Linked DNA regions of Cricetulus griseus. The protein of the gene in region 2 purifies or fractionates together with the protein of the main gene of each other region. This does not show direct contact. Links are inferred from orthologs where the notes say so. Each region holds a gene or a part of one and is shown on either strand. Other genes may lie near its edges. The genes, in order: Usp11, Tceal1 and Kdm3a.

What was found.
Region 1: the proteins of Tceal1 (region 2) and Usp11 purify together in Homo sapiens (affinity purification with mass spectrometry; 4 studies listed by BioGRID, counting the BioPlex papers as one, with this or other methods). This does not show direct contact. The link is inferred for Cricetulus griseus from reciprocal best matches to the Homo sapiens genes TCEAL1 and USP11.
Region 3: the proteins of Tceal1 (region 2) and Kdm3a purify together in Homo sapiens (affinity purification with mass spectrometry; 3 studies listed by BioGRID and IntAct, counting the BioPlex papers as one, with this or other methods). This does not show direct contact. The link is inferred for Cricetulus griseus from reciprocal best matches to the Homo sapiens genes TCEAL1 and KDM3A.

Annotation. Positions count from the first base shown.
Region 1 is NC_048604.1:125,522,322-125,525,969, forward strand, and holds part of Usp11 (ubiquitin carboxyl-terminal hydrolase 11), read left to right. Parts: intron 1-272; coding exon 273-446; intron 447-532; coding exon 533-691; intron 692-1,012; coding exon 1,013-1,237; intron 1,238-1,363; coding exon 1,364-1,447; intron 1,448-1,540; coding exon 1,541-1,635; intron 1,636-2,797; coding exon 2,798-3,004; intron 3,005-3,648.
Region 2 is NC_048604.1:43,693,288-43,697,077, forward strand, and holds Tceal1 (transcription elongation factor A protein-like 1), read right to left. Parts: upstream 2,448-3,790; 5' UTR 2,339-2,447; exon of another isoform or gene 2,335-2,338; intron 1,613-2,334; 5' UTR 1,583-1,612; coding exon 1,085-1,582; 3' UTR 532-1,084; downstream 1-531.
Region 3 is NC_048601.1:63,329,605-63,333,815, forward strand, and holds the start of Kdm3a (lysine-specific demethylase 3A), read right to left. Parts: upstream 2,862-4,211; 5' UTR 2,724-2,861; intron 2,158-2,723; 5' UTR 2,128-2,157; coding exon 1,942-2,127; intron 1-1,941. UniProt on the Homo sapiens protein: Histone demethylase that specifically demethylates 'Lys-9' of histone H3, thereby playing a central role in histone code.

The DNA.
Region 1 (3,648 bases), about 82 Mb from region 2:
AAGGCTCCACAAATCTGATCTGGTGTGCCCACATTTTCTCCTGAAGTATCAACACCTTTTCCCTCTACTTGCTCCCCGTTCTTGCTTCTTTCCTTTGGTACTGCCATTTCCTCCTACAGAGATACTGACATCTTTCCCCAATACTTCTACTGCACTCACACTGCCAACCCTTCCCCTTCTCTCTCCCATTTCCCTGTCCTCCCTCCTTCTCTGTTCTCACTTGGGCCACCTCACCTCTCCTCTACCTCTTTCACTGGGCCCTACTACCACAGTGCCTCAGCAATGTGCCACAGCTCACGGAGTACTTTCTCAACAACCGCTACCTGGAGGAGCTCAACTTCCGGAACCCTCTGGGCATGAAGGGTGAGCTTGCTGAGGCCTATGCAGATCTGGTAAAGCAGACCTGGTCTGGCTACCACCGCTCCATTGTGCCGAATGTCTTCAAGGTGTGACTCAACCCCATGGGCTCCCACTTTCTTTTCTCTTGCTTCTCCTAACTCCTACTCACTCTACCACCCGACTGTCTCCTCAGAACAAGGTTGGCCATTTTGCATCCCAGTTTCTGGGCTACCAGCAGCATGACTCACAGGAACTATTGTCATTCCTTCTGGATGGGCTACATGAGGACCTCAATCGAGTCAAAAACAAAGAATATGTTGAGCTGTGCGATGGTGCTGGGCGCCCGGATTTGGTAGGCTACCCATTAAAGCTACAAGGCCTTAGGAATTCTCTGGTTTCCCTGGTCTACCTAACACCTTACCATTTCCTCCGTTCCCCTACCTTGAGCTTTACCCCACCCTTAGTCATAGCAGCATGTCTGTTCCCATAACTTTGGAGTTAACCCCAATCAGGCACCTATCCTTCATAAATCCCAGCTCTGAAAGTAAACATAGTTTCCAGATAGACCTAGATGTTGTTCTGCCACTAAACTTCAACAGTACCTTTCCCCCAACCACTATGAATCCATCCCCACCCTTTCCCTCTGCTAACACACCATGAAACTTGTCAACAGGAAGTGGCTCAGGAAGCCTGGCAAAACCACAAACGACGAAATGATTCTGTGATTGTGGATACTTTCCATGGCCTCTTCAAGTCTACGCTGGTGTGCCCTGATTGTGGCAATGTGTCTGTGACCTTTGACCCCTTCTGCTACCTCAGTGTCCCACTGCCTGTCTCCTCCAGGAGGGTCTTGGAGGTCTTCTTTGTTCCCATGGATCCCCGCCGCAAGCCAGAACAGGTGGGGAGGGAGTATGGGAACACAATGAAGGATATGTAATCAGAATTTGATTACTTTCCCCGGAGTTTTCTGCATGAAGCTACCGTAAGCTCTTTTGATCGTCTTTGGATCTTCTTTCTCCCTCAGCACCGGGTTGTGGTCCCCAAGAAAGGCAACATTTCAGATCTGTGTGTGGCTCTGTCCACACACACAAGTGTTGCACCAGACAAGGTAAGACTTTGCAGAGGGAGACTGGGTAGGTAGGATTTGAAGGAAGAAGGTCCTGGCACATGCACTGTTCTCATGCCCCTGTTCTATCCCTAGATGATAGTAGCTGATGTCTTCAGTCACCGATTCTATAAGCTCTACCAGCTGGAGGATCCTCTGAGTAGCATCTTGGATCGGGATGATATCTTTGTGTGAGTGACAAGATTAAGGGGAGTGGATAGAGGAAGCTCCTTCCCCTTTTGTTTTGCCTTGCTGGGGATGGAACCCAGAGCTCCAGAGCATGTTAGACGACTACTCTTAATATTTGATACTTAGTACTTGCAATTCAGTACATATACCCATAAAGAAGTAAATAAATATATAGAGAGAGCCAGAGACAGGGAGATGGTCTCCCTATGTAGCCCTAGCTGACCTGGAAAAACAGTGCCTTGCAAATAGAAATTTTCTTTGTAAACCAAAGTGTTTTCCACAGGAAAAATGTTTTTTTTTTTTTTTTTTTACAAAATATTTTTTTTAAGAATTTATTTACTTATTATGTATACAGTCTTCTGCCTGCATGCAGATCCCATTCAAGGCAGTTGTGAGCCAACATGTGGTTGCTGGGAATTGAACTCAGGACCTCTGGAAGAACAGTCAGTGCTCTTAACCACTGAGCCATCTCTCCAGCCTAGGAAAAATGTTTTAATCTTTGTTTTTTTTTTTAAATTAACCCCCTCAGTATTCCCATATTACCCAAGCTCTTCCTAAAACAGCATATAGGAAAAGTGCTAAGGAAGTCACTTAGTAGTTCATAAAATATCAAATATTTCACAGGTTTTTAGACCCTTTAAAATATTTTGGGGAAAGGGTAGACAGATAACTCAGTGGTTAAGGGTACTGGCTACTCTTCCAGAGGACCCAGGTTCATTTCCCAACACCCACATAGAGACTCACAACCATCTGTAATTCCAGTTCCAGGGGATCCAGTGTCCTCTTTTGGCCTCTTGCAGTCACCAGGCACACGTGATACACGGACATGCATATAGGCAGAACACCCATACACATAAAATAATAATGATAAAATATTTGGGGGAGGCAGGCAAGATGGCTCAGTGGGTAAAAATACTTGCACAAGTCTGACAACCTGAACCCATGACGGAAGGAGGAAACTGACTTCTGAAAGGTGTATCCTCACCTCTACATGTATGTCAGTATGTCCATACTCAAACACACACACTAATAACTGAAAAAAACCCTACACTCTTTTGGACTGAGGTGAATGATTGGAGCAACTGGAGGGCAAAGTCAGGGAATCTTTCTTGGGATTCCTTAGTCAAAAATAAATTAATCACCCCTCCCCACATACACACACAGATATGAGGTGACTGGTCGGATTGAGCCTGTTGAGGGTTCAAGAGATGATATCGTGGTTCCTGTTTACCTGCGAGAGCGAACCCAATCCCGAGACTTCAACAACTCCTACTATGGGCTGATACTTTTTGGGCACCCTCTCCTGGTGTCTGTGCCCCGGGACCGGTTCTCCTGGGAAGGCCTATATAACATCCTGATGTACCGGCTTTCGTAAGTACCGCTTTCCTAGGATCAGGGTGGTGTATTTGAGTGAGGAGACCAAGGTCAATAATCAGACTTGGGTTCTGTATTTGGCACATCCAAATGACAGTTCAAATTGAACATGGTAGTAGAACTTCTGGGGCTTTTTCTATTTTTAGACCTCTGGCTTCTCTAATGCTTCTCTTTGGTACTGGTGAACCAAACTGAATACAGAGGCGAACAAGACAAAATAGAGACAATTTCATTTTGTATATAATTGTCTCTACAGAGAGATTTGGATATATTTTTACTAGTTTATTCTTGTATCTAAAATCCAGAGTCCTTACCATGGAAAGGTACGTTATTAGATGAATTTCTTCTTCATTCTAATTCAAAAGTTCATCCTTGCTGGGCATTGGTGGCACACACCTTTAATCCCAGCACTCAGGAGGCAGAGGCAGGTGGATCTCTGTGAGTTCAAGGCCAGCTTCGTCTCCAGAGTGAGTGCCAGGACAGTCAAGGCTACACAGAGAAAGTCTGTCTTGAAAAACAGGGAAAATATTCATCATAAGTCTTCTCAGAGGTCAATTTGAATTCGTAATTGATTGTATATCTGTGTTTACCGGTGGCTTTCGACTTAATCTCCACACTCCTAACTACTACATGAATATCTA
Region 2 (3,790 bases):
AACATGAACAGAATGTGAAACTCACTTGGAATCTCACAGGAATTTTGGATGAGCACCAGAGAGATTTCTTTAGGTGTTAATTTCTTGGCTCCAAAGGAATCTACAGAGGTTGGGAGGACCTACCAAAACAAAACAAAACAAACAGATCTCAAAGGATCCTTTTCTCATTTAGTTCCACAGCAGTACTGTAATGTGCGTCTTCCTATTATTTAACGTGGAAAATGTTTTTCCTACTGATAATAAAAATTCTCATTTGTATTTCTGCTTAAGAGATTCAGAAGAGGGGCTAGAGAGATGGCTCAGCGGTTAACAGCATTTGTTGCTCTTCCAGAGGACTTGGGTTCAAATCCCACCCATCCATATGGTGGCTCAGGACCATCTATAAATCCAGTTCCAGGGGATCTGACACCTTCTTCTGACCTCCATAGGCACTGGGCATACACTTGGTGTACCTGTATGTAGGCAAAACATCCATAGACATAAAATACAGTTAAAAAAATCTTAGAAAAGAGATTCAGAAGAAACATAGGATTAACTTTTAAGTTCTGATAAATATTTATTAAGGATCACATTGTCTTTATGAGCTGACTAATAAGCTTTGTTTTTCAGAATTGCTTCACTTTTTCATTATATTGTTTGTTATGCAACATAAAGAAAATGTATTCATCATGAAAAGTGAGACTTTACATGAAGCAAAATTTAAAAAGTATAAAATCACCTATTATCTTTACCACACAGATAACCAATGTTAGCCTTTACATATATAGTTTTTAGCTTTTCTTTGAATATTAATATATAAATGTGTTTTCCTTTTACAAAAATGGGATGCTATGTATATACCTTTGCTTTTATCACCTCACATATATAATGCATATCTTTCCATGCAAATGGATCGGACTCAGATTTTAGAAGGTTTAGGAAAAAAAAAAAAGAGCAATCCTGTGCCAGTTACAAGTCAAACACCTGAAATAAAACTGCACAAAAATTACAACCAAGAAGGGAAAAGGCATGTAAGAAGATGCAAACAGAGAGTCCAGGTAGCAATGCTATTATTATCAAGCAAAACAAAGAAAGGTGGAACACATTAAATAGGGTAAGGGCGACTCCGTTTTGCCTTCCAATGCATTATCATCAGTTTATTTCGTACTCTCTTCATCTCTTCCAACTCATCCGCTGCCTGTATCATTTCTTCATTACTTAAATTTCTCCCATGGATTTCTCCTCTAAATCGAGGGCGGAAAAGGGCTAGCCTTTCTTTGAAACTTCCCTCCTCTAGCTTGTGTTTGCCCACCCCACAGGGAGGTTGTTCCATGGGAGGACGGTCCTCGAACAGGTTCTTCTCTGAGAGGCACTCCTGGGGAGGACGATCTTCTGACAGCAGCATCTCTGGCAGCAGCTCAGGCAGAAGCTCTTCAGGAAAGAACTCCTCCTCTGAGGACTGCTCCTCTGAGGACAGATCCTCTGAGGACTGCTCCTCCTCAGAACACTGATTTTCAGGATACTGCTCCACGGGAGGTTGCTCTTCATCCGTCTTTAGAGTGCTCTGTGTTTGTTCTTCATTTCCTTTGCATGAGTTTTCCATGCTGAGAATTTTCTTCTTCAAGCAGTTATTCTTGAGACAAGAAAAAGGAGACTAGAGTCACAATACTTGGCCAGCTGGATCAACACCCTAGGATCCAGCTATGGGTTTCAATCCCTGCCTGTCCCTGATTGAGGCGAGTGTCTTTAAACCTTAGCTTACTCAGAGGCTCATGGGTTCTCCCGCCCGCGGCTGCGGAGCAGCCCCCTCCTTTCCGAAAGACCACCATTTTTCCCAGCAGGCCTTGCCACAAGGCCTCTCCTGCAGTGACAGGGGCGGAGCAGTGAAGTCCGCAGACTGTTCCCCTCCGTGGTCGGTCTCAGACTCGGATCCTGTCTCACTGCCCACCATTACCCCAACCTCTCACCCCTGTGGTCCCCTCTGAGTCGCCTGGGTGACACGGGCAAATCTACAGATAGACGCCAGACAGGGTAGGGGGCGGGGATAGAAGGAGGAGAAACAGACCCGGTGACGCACACCCCTTTTTGTAGGGACCAGCTAATCGCCCCCAAAGACTGCTCCCTTGGGGTTCACCTGAGTCATACTTCACGTAGAGCATCGTCCTTTGTACCCCACCCCACTCCCAAAACCACCATTTTCTGCACCGAAATCTTAGGCGGGGGGGGGAGGGGGGAGGGAAGGCGGGGCGGGGCTGCAGCATAGGTGGAAGATGGGATTCTGCCATGCAGGTACGATCCCACTGGTTACAAGGAACCTTTGACAATCACTAAATCTAGAGGATCCAGGGAACTTACTTACTTCTGCTTTCCTTCTCGACCAAAGGGTAATAGAAAGACGGTGTCTGGACAGGCAAAACGGACCGGGACGAGAGGGACTTGGGCAGACATAGGCTCCTGGTCACGTGAGGGGCGCGCGTCACTGCTGGGCTCAGATCCCTAGTAAGCACTTTGGCGACCATTTGCCAACACCTGCCAGAATCTTTTTACCTCAAACAAAACGGAATTTTCGCTTACCCTCCCCCCCGCCCACACACACTTTATTTGCCTTTTGTTGGTTACTGGAGGCGATTAGCATCTGATTCTCCAGGATCATTGTCTCCTCCCTGCTGCATCTCCAATGTTATGTCTCACTCTTACTTTCCACTTTTCCTCAGCTACTGAGGCTTCAGATTTTCCCCGTTCTCTAGAGCCTGCACTGAAATTTCACCATTTCACCCCCATAAATCAAGGTATCATGGTCAGGACAGGCAAGATGACAGATGCTGTAATCCCAGTACTTAGGGTATAGAGACAATAGGATTGCCTCAAATTGGAGGGTAGCTTCTTCTTCATAGCTAGTTCCAGGCCAGCCAGAACTACATGGAAAAATTCTGTCATCAAAACAAAACAAAACTTTTCAAGGGCACTGGAGAGATGGCTAAGCACTTAAGAGCACTTGTTCTTGCAGAGGACTGGAGTTTGATTCCCAACACCTACATAGTACGTTACAGCCATTCATAACCCTGTTTCAAGGGATCATATCTCCACAGACAGCAGGCACATGTGTGGTGCACAGACACAGATACAGTAAAGTCCACAATAAGATGAAATAAATAAATCTAAAAAAGTACCTTTCAAATACTAATTTTTATGCTTAACCCACATCCCCATCAGGTCCCATTTTTAATCTTTCATTTCTGTGATAGTTAACCTTTCATTTTTTTTCTTTTCAACCCATTTTTATTTTTGAGACCCTCAGTTATGCCTCAATTATGTCATAAATAGAAATTCTGGGATAAATTAATAGTCTTCCAATTCTACACCTCTAGAAACATTTACATCTGTAAAGTATATAAATCTAATGGCTCTATACATTGGATGCCATAAGTCAAAACACTCATGTGTTCATCTACATATAAAATAGTCAAGAGAAGTTTTTTTTTAATTATGTGAAGTGGGAGAGCACTTGGTGCACAATGTGGTATTATTCTTCACTCTCTATACTCTATACATCGGCATCATTCAATAGTTACTATTCATAGTGGAAGAAATAGATTTCATAGAAACCATAAATTCTTTTTATTATACAATTTTTTATTTAAACTAGAAACAATATTGTTTTACATGTCAATCCCAGTTCCATCTCCCTCTCCTCCTCCCCTGCCCCCCCACTGGTCCCCTTATCTCATCCCCTTTCTGCTTCCCAGGCAAGGTAAGGCCTTCCATGGAGGATCTTCAAAGTCTGTCATATCACTTGGAGCAGGGCCTAGTT
Region 3 (4,211 bases), on a different chromosome or scaffold from region 2:
ATGCGCACTCGCAAACATGGATTCAAATACTGCCACGGCCATTTAGTAGCTAATTATGCCAGCCTGGATCAAAGACTTGTCTGAAAGTGAAGCTATCACCTCAGGGGCAGGAGGGGATATGGCCAAGAAAACACATACTAAGGACCTTTTACAGGTCCTTAATCCTAGAAGGAAATACCTAGGCTCCTGTCATCTTCCTAAGAACTAAAGACTATAAAGTTGAGATATTGCTCCCATTTAGGTTAGATCAAACAAATGTACTAGAATGTTTTCAACTTGGCAGATGAAAACACTACAAGCATGACTGAAATCTGGTACACAGGCCATTCTATGTAGAAAGGTTATTGGCCTAAGAAAATAGCCTGGTCATCCCCACACAACTCACTATCTCTAAAACCGGGTTTGGTAGCATGAGTGGGAGGGAAGAAAAGCTACACTTCACCGAGCATATAGGAGCAGCACCACTGTGGCAGCATGGTGCCACTCTCATCAGGCAGCATGATGGTAATGGGGAAGCCTCTGGAGGAAAACTTCCTAAGTGAGAATACAGACTACGCTAATTCCTAGGTATAAGGCCCGAAAGCTAATGAACTTAGTGTTCCCTAGGCACAAGATCACCATCTGTAAAATGGTATCAACAATACTTAGTAGCCCAAAGTACTGCTATAATGATCAAAAAAGAGTAGCTGTTAGTGATCACAAGGATGCTTGGAATGTGACTGAATGTCCAGTGGTCACTCTTCCCTTGCAGATGAATACAAGGCACTTGGTGAAAAGTGTCAATACATAACCAAATATCCTTTTCCAATGATCCTCTGAAGACTCATAATAGTATAGGCATGCACTGTCAAGTCTGTATTCAAATGAAGGGTTTCAGAAATCAGCATTCAACTGACAATGGCTAAAACTTGCTTCCTTTGAGTAGTTTTCAAGAAAAGGGTAAAAACACAAGGAAGCATAGATCCCAAAGCATGTATATTACTCAGGGTAGAAATGTCTTCTGTCCTGACAAACTTCCTTTATTACCACTTTGGAGTCTTTGTTAAGAATCTTTCCTCAGATGTTTTTGCACAAGGGAGTCTTTGATGGCACAATGGTTTCCTCACTGCTTATTTCCAGACTATCTTTTCACACCAATACTTGTATCAGAGAGTAGAATTCATCCTTTCAAAAGATGGAACTGAAAAAGCTTCCAATGTCATTCGCATTAAAAGTATGTTCACTGGTCACACCAGTTCCCTTTCTCTCCTTCCTCCCAAACACCCACATGTAGTATTTCTGAAGGCATTCCTCCCAAACACCCTGTATGGGACAGCTCCACCCAAGGCCTCCATATATGGTCCTATCCATACCAACCCAGCTTCACTGACATCAGGAACTCACTCCTGCCTCACTAATCACACACCAGCAAATACCCACTCGTACAGAACTAAGCTCCTCCCTCTACATTCATACTTCATTTCCAAGCTGTAAAGTTCAAAAAGTTGAGTGAAGAAATAAAGAACAACACCCGCACCTCAAATAGTCTATTTTCAAAGCACTCGATAATTAATGATTTCAAATGTCATCCACTTCTCTAACCTATTACTAATAAACAATACTACTCCCGTTGGGGGCATAATCAGACAGTCCTAGTGGGACCCAGCGCCTGCATTAATGAAGCATGTCTGAACAATCCTAAACCCATTATTAATCTCAGGCAGCTGGAGCTCTAGGCCAAACACACCTTGACGCTACACATTTCAAAGACTTTCAAGGTCTAGATTCTGCACCTTTAGATCACATGCCAACTTTCTAGTGGCCCATTTCAGAAAAGGGAGGGAGGGGAGTTTGACTGCCGCGTTACCAAGGTAACTGAAAACCGTCTGACTGCCCAGCCCCAGGAGATGGGTTTTTTGTTTGTTGGGGAGGAGGGGGTGTTTTGTTTTGTTTGTTTTTTACCTTCAGATCTTTCTTGGTAACGTCAGTGTGGGAAACAGCTCGAATGGTCCCCGACAGCCAGGGCCACTCTGCGACTCGCTCCAAGTCCCAGCTGTCGTGGGCGCCGTCGCTGCCTTCGGCTGCGGACAGGCTAAGGAATCGCTTCCCCACCAATACTGGCCAACTTTCTCCCAGCGTGAGCACCATGGTTTCCACGCCAGCAGGAAGGGCTCCTCCCTGCAAAAGGCACAAAAACAAAATGCGATGGGGGCGGCCGCGGTCGGAGGCGGCCCGAAGAGCCGAAGCGCCGACGGGGACCGGTGGAGTGACACCCCCGCGGGTGGACCCCGCACCCCAAGCTGCCGCCCGCGCCTCCCCACCCCCCTCCTGTCCTCCCCCGCCGCAAACACCGGCCCGAGTGCCGCGTGACCCTCTCGCCCTACCAACTTTCGCTTTTTCCAAACCTTTCAAAGCTGGACGCCGAGGGAGAGAAGGGAGGGCTGAGCCGCAGCGCCAGAGCTTTTTCCTAAGTGTCCGTCCCCTCGCCCCAGCAAAGAAAAGGCTCCCCCAGAGCAGAGGGACCGTCCCAGCGGCCGGTCCCCGCCCCGGGCGGCCTCGGAGCCGCCGTGGACTAGCTCGCGACTCGACACTTGCCGCGCCCCCCGCCCCCGCTTCCGGGCCGCCGACTCGGGCGCACCCCCGCCCGGCCTGCGCCGCGAACCCAGGCGACGCGGCGAGCGCCCGCGCGGGCCCTTCACCCTTCTCCCCCGGCCTCCCGCAGCCGAGGCCCGCGGCGCGCTTACCCCGCCTCCCGCCTCCCTGAGTCACCCGCGACGGCGGCAACAGAGCCCAGCCGCCCAGCCGACTCCAGCTCTGACTTGGTTCAAGAGCTCTCTCTCACAAGACACGCACAGCCTCCCGGGCCCGCCCCCTCGGAGCCGCTGCCGCCGTTTATTGGCTGAACCGCGGGGGCCGGGCGGGGCAGCTAAAGAGACCGTCCGCTCCTATTGGCTATTCTGAAGAGGGCGGGGCGAGGAAAAAAAAACAATTCCTTGGCTGCCTCCTCCCTTTCCCCCGCCCCCCCCGACTCGAAGCCGACCCCCCATTAGAGCGCGCAGAACGCAGGCGGAAGATCCCTCCGCCGCTGCTCCATTCTTCCATTTGTTGCCTCGCGCTACGCAAAAAAGTCCGGCCGAATCGGTTATCGACTTTGAAGCCAGACGGAAAACCGCACGGGCTCGCAGATAAGACTGAATGGGGAGACCCAGGACCGTGCGTGCCGATTGGGCTACGCGTGAAGCGCGTAGGATGTCGACCGAAGACGGACCTTCCAAGAGGCGGAAGAATCTCACGGGAAAGGGGCGGGGGCGGGACACAGCCTGCGGGGGAGGGACGGTACAGGGACGTGCGGTTTCAGGCGTACGCAGTTAGGGGGAGGAGCGACTCGGCTCCGGAGGCTGGTGCGCAGGCGCCGGGAGGGGCGGGCTCTGGAGCTTGGGCTGATGGGTGAAATGGCCGCTGGAGGCGCAGGCGCACGTGGTGCGGGTCGTGACTGTCTAGGTCCGCCATTTTGAAGGATGAGCGAAGAAAGAGTAAATGGAAAACGATGTCGTGCACTCTAGGGGCGAGCGATCCGCCAGCTGCGGTGTGCCGCGCGTTTCCTTAACGTGAAGTGGGTATAAGGGGCTCTGAGACTTGACGAAGAAACTGAAAAAGAAGGTGGAGTTGATGACCAAGGTAACAATGGAAGAGAAGGTGACTTTGAAGGACAAAAGAGAGAAAAGATGGCTATGTGGTTTGTACCAGAAGATTATTGGTTGAATGAAGAATTGCAATGAACGATGGAACACTTCTTAATGAAGCCTGGTGCCTGACCCAGCATCATATTTAGCAGTCCTTAACATAAAAAGACTGGAAATTGCCTGTTTGACAATAGTGAAAATGGGACATCAGATAAAAGTTCAAAAAATGTATTAAGGAATGAGTGAATATACAACGGAAATTAGTACCAAATGTTCATTTTGAAATATGCTTGGCCTGAGAACATGACATTAGAAAGTTAAAGCTTGAATACTGAAAAATTAACTAAGTTGAATGTATAATATGCAGACCATTAAAAGGTGGGAAATGGAAGGAAGAAACCTGTCCGCTTCAACAAAAGGCAGATATGGGAACAAGAAAAACAAAAGAAAGAAGAAGAAAGTATGATAAAGATAAAATGTCTGGAATAAGTCCATTTCTATTTACAATAAATATAAATGGGTTAATTTTATTCATACGTATGGAAAGGT